Linked DNA regions of Drosophila melanogaster. The protein of the gene in region 3 interacts with the protein of the main gene of each other region in a pairwise test. Each region holds a gene or a part of one and is shown on either strand. Other genes may lie near its edges.

Evidence for each region.
Region 1: the proteins of CG6149 (region 3) and Roe1 interact in a two-hybrid assay, tested with the Drosophila melanogaster proteins (one large-scale study listed by BioGRID).
Region 2: the proteins of CG6149 (region 3) and naz interact in a two-hybrid assay, tested with the Drosophila melanogaster proteins (one large-scale study listed by BioGRID).

The regions. Positions count from the first base shown.
Region 1 is NT_033778.4:13,552,371-13,556,188, forward strand, and holds Roe1 (Roe1), read left to right. Parts: upstream 1-1,706; 5' UTR 1,707-1,810; coding exon 1,811-1,896; intron 1,897-2,016; coding exon 2,017-2,311; intron 2,312-2,656; coding exon 2,657-2,917; 3' UTR 2,918-3,236; downstream 3,237-3,818. Other genes in the region: link, read left to right, coding at 3,618-3,818. UniProt on the Drosophila melanogaster protein: Essential component of the PAM complex, a complex required for the translocation of transit peptide-containing proteins from the inner membrane into the mitochondrial matrix in an ATP-dependent manner.
Region 2 is NT_033777.3:18,325,807-18,330,531, forward strand, and holds the start of naz (nazgul), read right to left. Parts: upstream 3,137-4,725; 5' UTR 3,013-3,136; coding exon 2,915-3,012; intron 853-2,914; coding exon 200-852; intron 1-199.
Region 3 is NT_037436.4:11,434,151-11,437,255, reverse strand, and holds CG6149 (uncharacterized protein), read left to right. Parts: upstream 1-1,779; 5' UTR 1,780-1,794; coding exon 1,795-2,499; 3' UTR 2,500-2,561; downstream 2,562-3,105.

The DNA.
Region 1 (3,818 bases), on a different chromosome or scaffold from region 3:
AATGCAGTACACCGCACTGATTGTTAACGAATTCTTTCGATGCAAAAAAAAAACTGGTCAAAGTTTTGGCTAGGGCTGTCAATAAGTCGATTAAATAATCGATAGCATCGATTTCTTGGCCCATCGCGAAAGTAAGCGCGAAATTTAAAAACCCAACGGATGTCTTCACCTTCGTCATTCAGAAGAGCATTCGTCATTCATAATTAATGTCGACAAAGGAGTGTACTTGGCATTGCAAATTAGTCAGGCACGTGAAAACACCATTTTTATTTTTAGCCTAATTTGTACGTGTTTTTGAGTGCTTTTAACCTCTCAAACAAACATTTTTGTTGTTTATTTTTAGAACCGCTTATAAACAATATACAACTATATGGCGGAGAAATGGCATTGTGTGAAAAACTTTAATTAGATCTAAGAATATCATTTAATATATTGTTTTTTAATGTGTTTTTATTGCACAGATAGCTATTAATAGCACTTGGAATCTTTCTTTAATAGGAAATCTACTATAGACACTGTTGAAACTAGCTTTAGCTGTAGTTTTTGTATAAAACCTAGTCTAAACTACATGTTTACTATGTTTACCTCTTTATTTCCCTTCCTGTGAAGCTTTCTTAGTCCACCCACCTGAATTGTTTACGCCTCTCACTCAAATCCAGGACTCTTCTCAATGGCTTGGGTGAGTTGCCCGGCGACGTGGCTGCCGCTCCATCATTTTCCTCCTCCAGAGAACTGGACACCGAGGTACTTGCCACCATTTGGAGGGCCAATTGGAGATCCTCCTCACGCATTTTTTGTTGTTTTTTTTTATTGGAAAAGTATGAAAAAAAAACCGAGTTTTGAGACGACAACCTCGTTGTTCCGGTGGCGAGATCCAACTAAGTGACTTCTCGTGCTTCGTTTTCCAAAATATATACAATGCATGCGCATATGTAATACTTGGCAGTGCGATCGGAGAGGTAAGTTGTTGAATAGATGCTATGCCCGCCTCGTACACTCGTACTTTGAATTCATTAAGAGCCTTCCGATATTTACATTTCCAGAGCAACTTTTTTCGAGCGGTCCATATTTTGGCGGCCCCGGGGCGTGGCCGATCTGGTATGAGATCGATTTATAAGCTATGCGTGGATTAATAGCCGGTGGCGCACTCTTAATAATATATGTCCGAAGGTAGCGCCAAGAATATAGGCCCATTTTTGCATTAACACCGATCGATTTTAAGTGGACCTGCGCCTGCCAATATTGTCGATACACATTTTCACATTTTTATATGCCATTTGCATATTCCGTTTGTCCATTTTATATAAGAAATATTTTGTCGCTTTAAATTTGTATTTATGACCAAGGTGAATTCTCAGGGGTGTCAGGAACTACTGATCAAGTAGGGATTTCTTTATTAATAATAATTGTTTGTTTATTGCATTTTTGGGTTTAAGTGTGTAAAGTGGTAAAATTTCATACATTTTTGATTTCATTTTGGTAATATTGATGCTATTTAAATATTTATTTATTACTTGCACCGATTTCCTTCTTAATTTATTTTTAAGTATTTTAGTTATATAAAGAGATTTTCTTTGGATTTAATGTAAATAATTTTTTACATGAATGAATCCGAGCTTACATCTATTCTACATCCGACTTGACTGTTGCATTCTACAGCTGCGCTGCGGTCACACTAAGCGGCAACACCGGGTGGAATCGATAAACAATTACTATCGAACACACATCGATTGTTGAGAGAGCTGTGAAGCCGACGATTTTACGTCAAAAGCGGAATAAGTTTATTTAACGTACGAAAAAGCTAAGCATAATGTCAGCAAAGGCAGCCTTACCACTGCAGATGTTTGGCCGGCGACTCGTCCACCTGAGGTCATCGGTCACTTCTCAAAATATGAGGTAATTCCGGTTGCATTGCTTCCTCTTATCTGTGACGTAATGAGGGCGCACGTTTGTCGTTTCGCATGTAATTCTAACATTGCCTCCCGTCTCACTCCCAATCGTCTACCACACAACCAGTGCCCTGCGTTTGTACAGCACAGAGAAACAGCCGGAAGAAGCGACAGAGCAGAAGGCCACCGAATCGTCGCCAGAAGTTGAGAAACTCACCAAGGAACTGGCCGCCGCCAAGGAGCAGAATGCCGAGCTAATGGACAAATACAAGCGTTCGCTAGCCGACAGCGAAAACATGAGGAACCGACTGAACAAACAGATCAGCGACGCCAAGATCTTTGGCATCCAGAGCTTCTGCAAGGATCTGCTCGAGGTGGCGGACACACTGGGACATGCCACACAGGCGGTGCCCAAGGATAAGGTACAAACTATCTTATCTTAAGATTTAAGGTTTAAGGTATCTTAAGGATTCAGACTCGCAATGAAGTTGCATATGTTGAGATAAGAATTTCGTAATTATTTGTTGCCAATACTTGAAAATCTTCATAGCATTTTAAGGTGTATTTTCCCGATCTTTCCATTTCTATCTGAGAGATAACAAACCCGATTGCATTACATACATCTAATTGTACATATAGATTTGTTGGGGTATTTTAAATTGAGATATTTGGATAACTTGTTAGCCATTTTAGACTTAATAGATAGTTTAATCGTTTTGCATTAACATTCTTAAAGCTACCCTTACTAATGATCTTAATTATTGCAGCTCAGCGGCAATGCTGATTTGAAGAACCTGTACGAGGGCCTCACCATGACGCGCGCCTCGCTGCTGCAGGTGTTCAAGCGACACGGACTGGAGCCACTGGATCCCATCAACCAGAAGTTCGACCCCAATCAGCACGAGGCGCTGTTCCAGAAGGAGGACAAGACCGTCGAGCCCAACACCGTGGTGGAGGTGACCAAGCTGGGCTACAAACTGCACGAGCGTTGCATACGTCCGGCCTTGGTGGGCGTGTCGAAGTGTTGATAGCCATGCGGCTGCCCAGAGGCATGTAAAATTCCCAGTACTCCCCCCCCCCCCCTAAACCAATTTACATGGCGTGTGTCTCTCAATTGTTTGCAATTTGTTTTCCGCTGCAAAATTCATGTACGTAAACCCTGTGTAAATACAACCTATCCCACAAACGCATCCTTCGGGCAAAGCTTGCGAATTTAGAATTCCTCCTAGTTTCTAAGAGATCTGTGACTGGATTTGATGGCCACAATTTGTACCATACGCGTGGCCATCGAGTGTTCCACTTTAAGGTTTAATTACGATAATAAAACATGTTTTAGTTTGTTGAAATATACCACGGAAATTTGTATTTCATCCTCATCTGGAGGAGACTCTGTTTATCTAGGTCTCTTTTTAGTTTCCTTTGATTTTCCCCGTTTTCCTTAGCCCTTGAAATTCGAATCCCTCATGAAAAACCATTTCTTTTGTTAACAAAAACCAGGTAGCGAAGCGTAATCGCATTCCTGCTCGTCGCGTAGGTGGAAAATTCAATGGAAATGCGTGATTTTCTATGACCCAGCAGGTAGGCTTCCAAGCACGTTCCCATGAATTCAGAGGTAGCACAGATGGTGGGTTCCCTAAAACGAGATTTGCGCCAGAGTTGAAAGTCTACTTCAAACGGTTTTGAACTATCTCGTTGGTTAGTTGTCCTTAAACATTTGAAGTGAACGGTATGATTGGTGTGCTAATGCGTTTTCTCTGGTCCTTGGCCATGGTGCAGTGCATCCAGGCTAGAGTGTCGATGCTGCCTCGTTTTTATGGACAAGACAGCGCTGTTATAGTGGACATCAATAGAAAATTCCCACCTAGAATGGACTCCAAGCTGCAGAATGCCCTGTACTACAACCTGCCGGTCTACAAACTGATAAAGCCA
Region 2 (4,725 bases), on a different chromosome or scaffold from region 3:
GCAAGTAATAATTTATAAATGATTCAAACGAACATTACTTTAGGATAAGTTTTGCGAAAAAATAGAAACTCATTAATTAAATTTTTCCCCGCCTAATGGCCACTAACAGAGCAATTGAGATAGCCCAAAAAGGCAGCTCCTTCGAGTGCACTTCCCCAGTTCCCTCTCGGGGAATAGGTCCCGAACTTTGTGCACTTACCTTTCAGTTCCCTGGCCATCCAACGGGTGGCAAGGAGCACGCAGAGCTTGGAGTGGGCAAATGCTTCGCGGGCGTGGAACTTCACCGACCAGGTGCCCACATTCAGGGGATCGTCGAAATCGATTTTGGCGCCCTGATGGGCATGGGCGGAAACGAAGAGGATGCGTCCTTGCTCCGAGCGTTGCAAGTGTGGCAGGAGCAGGTGGGTCAACAGGAAGGGGGCCAGATAGTTCACCTGGCTGTGCCGTTCGAAGCCATCCTCGGTGGGCATCTGAGTGTTGGCGAATACCACTCCGGCATTGTTCACCAGCACATCGATCCGCTCGAATTCCGCCATCAGCTGGCCGGCAAAGTGATGGACACTGCGCAGCGAACAGAGGTCCAAGTAGCGTGCCTCCACGAAGTACCTGTCCTCCGGATTGTCATCCTCATCCAAGGAATTCAGGGGTGTGCGGCAGCCCAGCTCACGTTTGATTATGGCCGCCGCCCGCTTCCCGGCCTCGAGATTGCGGCAGGCGAGGATTATCCGGCCACCTCGGCCAGCCAGAGCCTGGGCTATTTCGAAGCCAATGCCGCTGTTGCCGCCGGTGACCACCACGATTTGCTCCTTGATTTGATTATCGTTCGGACAGCGCTGGCCGCTCATTAAGGTCCTGGCATGCGGGTAAAGGATACAGATTAGATGGAGTTGGAAGGATGGAGAATGTTGGATGGCAAAGGGGCGGGCATGTGGATCAGTGGGTGTGGCTAGTGGTTTATGGGTAGCTTAATGATGTCCTGCATTCATGTTGCGTGTGTGCACTTAGCTAAATATTACCACTAAAAGTGATTCTTTTTATATGAAACTCATAAAAGATCTTAAAAAAAGAGTCATGCTTTTACAATCGAAGAAACTTTTTATATAAGATATTTTAAAAAATGTTATACATCATCAGTTTTGCGTATAGTAAGTTTCAAATTGACATAATTAGTTTAAAATAGATTTGCTTTAAGCTATAGCATGTTTTTTAATATTTTTGTGTAAAATAAACCTTATACATTTTTTCAAAGTAGTAAGGGTGGCGGTTAAGGGGTGGTAAAGGCATATAGTCGGAATTTTGGCTTATTGATAGGCGTTAATGGAATCAGCATGACTATTTGCATAAGTCTGCCTGCGGCCATTTGGCGATTTGGCTAACTCTGGCCGCTCATTTTCGACTCCATTAATTACGGTGCGTATGTCTGTAAACAATAATTGTCAATTTATTTAATTTCAAGCCTTGGGAAACAAACGAAATTACTGCAGCACAGGCATTATCTAAAGCTATATGCGAAATGTGTTTTAAACTCTAAACAGGTACAAAGCTCACTAATTAGTATATATTCGTGCTGTAGTCAATTAATTCGCATGGCTGAGTTCTAATTCATTTCCAATTCGTTTAATTGCACTTTTTGTGCGAGTTAGTCCACTTGTCTGTAAATTTAGTTTAATATTATGCATATTTGTAACAAAATTCCATTTGAAAGTAATAACTTATTTCGCTTGTAAGCTATCAGCTCAAATGCAGCTTATTTTGAAACTTTAAAAGATATTCACATAAGGTGCTTGATTTTTATTATAATTGGCTTTGTAAACAGAATGCTCACTGCAATCCAAATTTTAAGAGCCCACCTCTCCCGCAATCGAAGGCAATTTAATTTCTGCATTTTGCAGTCAGCTACTTCCTCTATAATCTTCACCGCATTCCATTTGCTCCACTTCATTTGGCGGCGACTTATTTTTGGCACTTAGAGCCAAGTTTGCCATGCCATCCCTCATTTTGGAATTCATTTGGCATTTCATTTACTTTGAGCCAAACTTTCGCAAATCCACTTTGTAAATATTTTGAGGTGGCGGAGGGGCTTGGGCGGGACTTGCTTGCAAGGGAAGTGCAGAGTGCCATATTGCAGTCACTGCCATTTCCGCTTCCGCTTTCCCAGCTTAAACTAACACCTGCAACTGCGAAACGACAGATAGCGTTGGGTCACAAAAACCGCGATGCTCGCGGTGCTCAGGAATAACAAAAACTAGTAGGCGGCGTGGTAAATTAATGGTTGAACTACCAGATACCCTGTACAAAACAAATTAGGCAAAACTCTCAAATTAGAGAAGGGCTTTCAAGAAATACTGTGTTGAATATGTATTAATCCATGTATGCATATAGAGCCATTCTCCGTATAGTGTAACGCTAACTTTACCAACTATATATAAATTTATTATTTATAGAAAATTTAAATGCTTTCCTTAAAAATGTTCTCTATTTACTTTTTAATGCATGTGTGTTTTTTAGTTGGCTACGTGTTCTATCTCCAATTTGTTTCGCATGAATAAAGTCCACCCTGTTAACCCTCGAGTACCGGAGGGTGTAAAAAACAAAAGTGGAAATAATCTTCAGATATTACATATTATCCGGGTCTTCTCTGCACCACTGCTCATCCACTTCCTCTCGAGTTCTCCACCATCTCCGTATGAAATCCACTTAAAAACTTTTCCGCGAATGGTGACGGAGGGGAAGTTTTTACTGGGATGCTGCGACATTTATTTACGTGTGTCCGAGGCGAAAGTTTTTATGCCCCAAAAAAATGGGGGCTTCTGGGGTACGGTAGGGTGCGGTGGGGTAGGGTAGGAATGGGGTAGGGAATGTGGCCGGGTGAATAAAAAATATCACACAGTTTCCGTTGACTCATCGCACTCACCGCACCGTAATCACAATGCCCACCGTGAGGGCCGCTATCGTGGGCCACCACGTGGCGAAGGGATCCGCCTCCTCGAACATGGTCAGCAATCGTTCCATCCTTGAGTGTATGCTTTGGATGCTACTGGGTGCGCGTTAGGTCCTGCCTCACTTTCTTCCCCTGCAATCGATGAATGAATCTGTGACTGGGTCTGCACGACACAAATGTTGAACGAAAACTGAACGGCATCCGTAGTAATAAATATGAATACTCTTTGCGTGGTCACCCGCTGGGTGCAGCATAAGTGAATGTATGTACACACGCGTAACTACAGTGGACACTTCCTAAATGGGACTACAGAAAGTGCTCAAAAATATTGAATAGTGGAAATCTTTAAAATACATGCAACGCCTCATGAAATGCTGTTCAATCTGGATCCGATTTCCTTAATCACATTTATTAAGTATTTATTTTTTAAGCTTTTTTGAAGATTTAATGATATTTTATGCCTACTGTAGTTTTGGTTTTGAGTGACCAGTAAAGAGCAAAAACTGAAACTAGCATGCCCACTTAAACGGGAGATACCCTAGAATAATCATGATTGCATATGTATTCGATTAGATTTATAATATATTCTCGTTTTAAGAATATGATAGTTATTTATGGCTGCTAGTTAGTTCTAAGTGATTGTTCCTATCGAGAGATGCCTGTTTAAATGCGGGCTTGCGAGTGGACCCGCTCTCATCTGAGCTCCGATTTCCAGAGCCGGCGGAGAAGATGTCGTTGACAATTGAATTTAAATGACCACCCCACTCGGCATCGCCGCCTATTTTTTCGACCCCTCAAACGTCACCGGCATATTTTCAATTTACATAAATGCTTGTTGCGCGGCATACGAAATGAGCGCTAGAACGAGAAGGGAAAGTGGCGCCCCCAAGCTCCTCATTTTCCTGGCCCTCGTTTGATTTTTCCGAGTTTGCCACCTGTCGTTGTGGCTCTGAAGGTTAGGTGCAAATTTGCACAAGCCGCAATATACAAGAACGTGAGAGGGTCGGAAAATGCTGCTCGCTATTTACACACGTTTTCCATTTTTTAATTTGTGTTTTTACTTCGCTTTTCATCCCATTTTTTTCCCTTCATTTTCTGCGGCTTACGCATTCAGTTTGCATATTTTTGTCTGCGGCAATGCAGACTAATGTGATTCAATTAATCTTTTCGCGTTTTTACCTCGAAGATTCCTTTTTTATTTATATTTATTCAAAAGTGTACTATATACGCCAGACTGAGTAACCACAAATTGTAATTATTCTTTAACAGCTGTTGTCTGGGATAAAATATGAAGAAAAGTGGTTTGGGATATAGTGGAACATTAATTAATGGGTGTGTTCTAATATTAAAACTAAGAAAACTTATTTAATATTTCAGATAATTAAAGAATTAGTCAATTATAAATTATGAAAATTAGATTATTTGATGATTTTTTAAACAGAACAAAGAAAGAAGAATTAATCTATACTACTATAAAATCTGTCAATTCTGAAGTGTTTGTAAACGCACTAACTGGAAAAGCGTTCTCCTTTATTTGTACTTACATAAATTCGTAAAAATACAAACCCTTAGAATGGAACACACTTATTTACCTTGTCCATTGGCGCACACGCTGTCCAAATTTATTATCCGACAAGAACTCAGCGAAGAGCCATCATCAGTTGTTCACGGAAAATGCTGGAAAATGCCATTCATTCGCTTTCGGTCCATTTCACCGCAAACCTCTCACCCTTTGAAACTTCAATTCAATTACGACGCATCCATAAAACATGCCAGTGACTAAA
Region 3 (3,105 bases):
TGGCTGGCTTTGGAAATTTCAATAGAGGCGGCAAATGCTTTGGATTTAGTGTTTACAAAGCTTGTGAACAGTGAAAAGATGATCCAACATTAATTATGTACGAAACTGAAACTGTGAGGGGAAACAAAATAAGGAACTTTAACAATTTCTTTAGGTATTCCCTTTGAAAGTTTCTAAGAACATGCTTGATAACCTTTAAAATCTAGAGTGGAATATGTGGAGTATGTATACGTCCTTGAAATATATATAGTGTGTTTTTTATACGAAAATAAAAATGTGTCTGTAAAATTAATTAACCAACTTAAGTTGATTTAAACATGGTTTTCTTATTCTTATATTAAACAAAGTGATAAAACTCAATAGATTATTTATAGTGTAATTACACTCAATACACCTACAAACTCAGAGTTCATACAAGTGCTAACTAAACAGTCTGCAACATTCGGTCCTAAAGGGATTGATACATTTATTTGACTGCCAAATATTGTACACCCGTTTTTATGTGCGAAAATATCGGCCAGAAATGTCTGCCTATATTTAAATAACTCTGTCGCAATGACCGTAGCGAAACGTGTCCGACAACGGTTTTAAAAAATTAACAACATTGCTCCAATTAGTCTGGGCAGTGCGGATCATAATTGTATGGGCACACATCGTTCTTATATAGTATATACATATGTATATTTCGCAGGCATTCGAATATCCAAATTTGCGTCACGGCACTGAGTTTTTGCGACTCCTTTCGTTTTTAAATCCATTTGGTTATCACCATGGACAGACGCTTAAATTGAATTTATAAATAGTAACAGACCACTATTTAACTAATAGACTCAAATTCGAACAGCAAAGACTTACTAATCAAACAGATGTCGACTTACTTAAGAGCTAGTTTTTATCGATAAGTGAGCTGGATTTATTAAAAAACTAAAAAAAACCCAGCTAAAAGTCCTTGAAATTTTTACTTTTATTTTGCACTGCTAATAAGATATAATTTTGGGCTTCCTAGTTGATTCAGTATTCCGAGATATAATGTATATTTATAATTATTTACTAATATTTGTTAAATATAACTAATAATTATCAGGTCACTGTTAAACAAATAGTTTTACCTATTCTCGCTTTCGCCGTCAGATGGCTGAATCGAATTTGGCAAAAAGGTAATTTAACTATTTACGAATGGTTTTCGTCGGACATATGGTGGTGATGGGCCTGACTAATTATCCACTGAGATCTGCACGGCCGACAAAGGAAAACAAACAAATATTTACGGAACACACATCCATTTGATTGCCTGCGGTTGGTGGACCCTTCCTCTTCATTTTCATCGCAACATCTGGTCCTGAAATTGAAGGACCTCTGACCAAACGAATCAGCTGTGTCCAAGGTCGCACCCCTGTAGTTTTAACGGCAAACTCCCCATTTCCATTTGAGTCAATACTCATCGCCTTTTACCTTTCGGTTCCGCAGTGGGTCAATAATTAAACTAACGATGAAATTGATACGTTGTATATCCAAACTCACATTTATCTATAAGTTTTAGATACGGTATTTATGTGTTTCCTTCAAATAGTTGTTTGAGTAGATTACAAAACTAGAAACATGGTTGAAATTGTTATTTATTTGTTTCAATGGAACCTATTTAAACTTTCTCACCCAACTTGGTAAAAATTAGAGCTTATTTTGCATCACTATTCTAGCGAATCCGTTTCGGTCATAGGCTATTTCCCTATGCCGGATCGATTTGCACCACATTAGCATAGCTCCATCGACAAATGCGTTAGTATCTATCCGGAAATGGAGCGACTTAATTTGTCGAACAGGGCTCGCCTGTTTTTCCACCTGTCGGCCACCGTTCACCTGGGCTATGCCATTTACTTTGACTGTCGGTATGCCCAGTTGCCACAAGTGGCGGTGACCCTGCGCCTGGAGCCACCGATTGGTGGCAAGTTTAAGTACATGACGTTTCTGTGCGGCCTTTTGCAGTTGGGGTACTATACACTGGCGCTGACCTTTGACCTCCTCCGATTGAGATCTCTAAGGAAGCTGCGAGACTACATCTTCGCCACCTTTGCCGTACCTCTGGCCCTTACGGTGGGTCTCACCTTTTGGACACTCTTCGCCATCGATCGGGAAGTGATATATCCGGTGCTTTTGGACCTGGTCTATCCCAATTGGCTGAACCACACCATGCACACCTTCGTCGTAATCTATGCCTTTGTGGAGTTGGGTATTACACGACATCAATATCCGAAACGCAGTCGAGGATTCACTGGACTGGGTGCCTTCATGTTGGGATATCTGGTGTGGATACATATCGTTTGGTTCCGGACCGACATCTGGGTGTATCCCTTTCTGGGCGGCATCGCCTGGCAGCTGAGAGTAATTTTCTTTGTCCTTATCATGGTCCTCGGATTCATTTACTATCTCTTCGGCGAGCGAGTTAATAACGTCTTGTGGCAGCGATCTACTGGTGTCCACAGATGGATCGATTCCCATTGAAATGCACATTTGATAGTTTAAGGATAGGAACATAAATAAAGTATATAGGATATGCTTCTTATTAAATTAAATATGACTACTGTGGAAGTCAAGCTATGCAACTATTCAAATCGTACAAAAGGCGCAGTAATAAAACTAATATACATTTTTGTAGAAACCATAAAATTCAATTCGAAAGTAATAAAACATGTTTCCGGTACAAAGATCAATTGCAATATAAAAGTCGAAATCATCTAATTTTTCAACACACATAACGGAACCGGAAATCGCTCTGAATATATTATTTTGGTTTTCAAATGCGTTTATCATCGAAAAACCAGCTGCTAAGAAGCGGAATCCATATGGATTCGAACATATTCTCATTCAACTATATGATAGTCACGTGCGGAAATTACAGCTGCCAGCTGATTCTGGAAAACCGATCCATTGTTTTACTCAATCCTTTCAGCGGGAGGTTCCGGTTTGGCTAGGATGTGGGCTCCGATTTCGAATATTTCAGGACACCACTTGTGCCAATATTTCGAAAGTGATCTCCGGACAGCCGAAACTCAGAGAAGAAAGGCACAGTTTTTCATTGTTTGCTGCAAAGGCAGATGGGTAACAGCC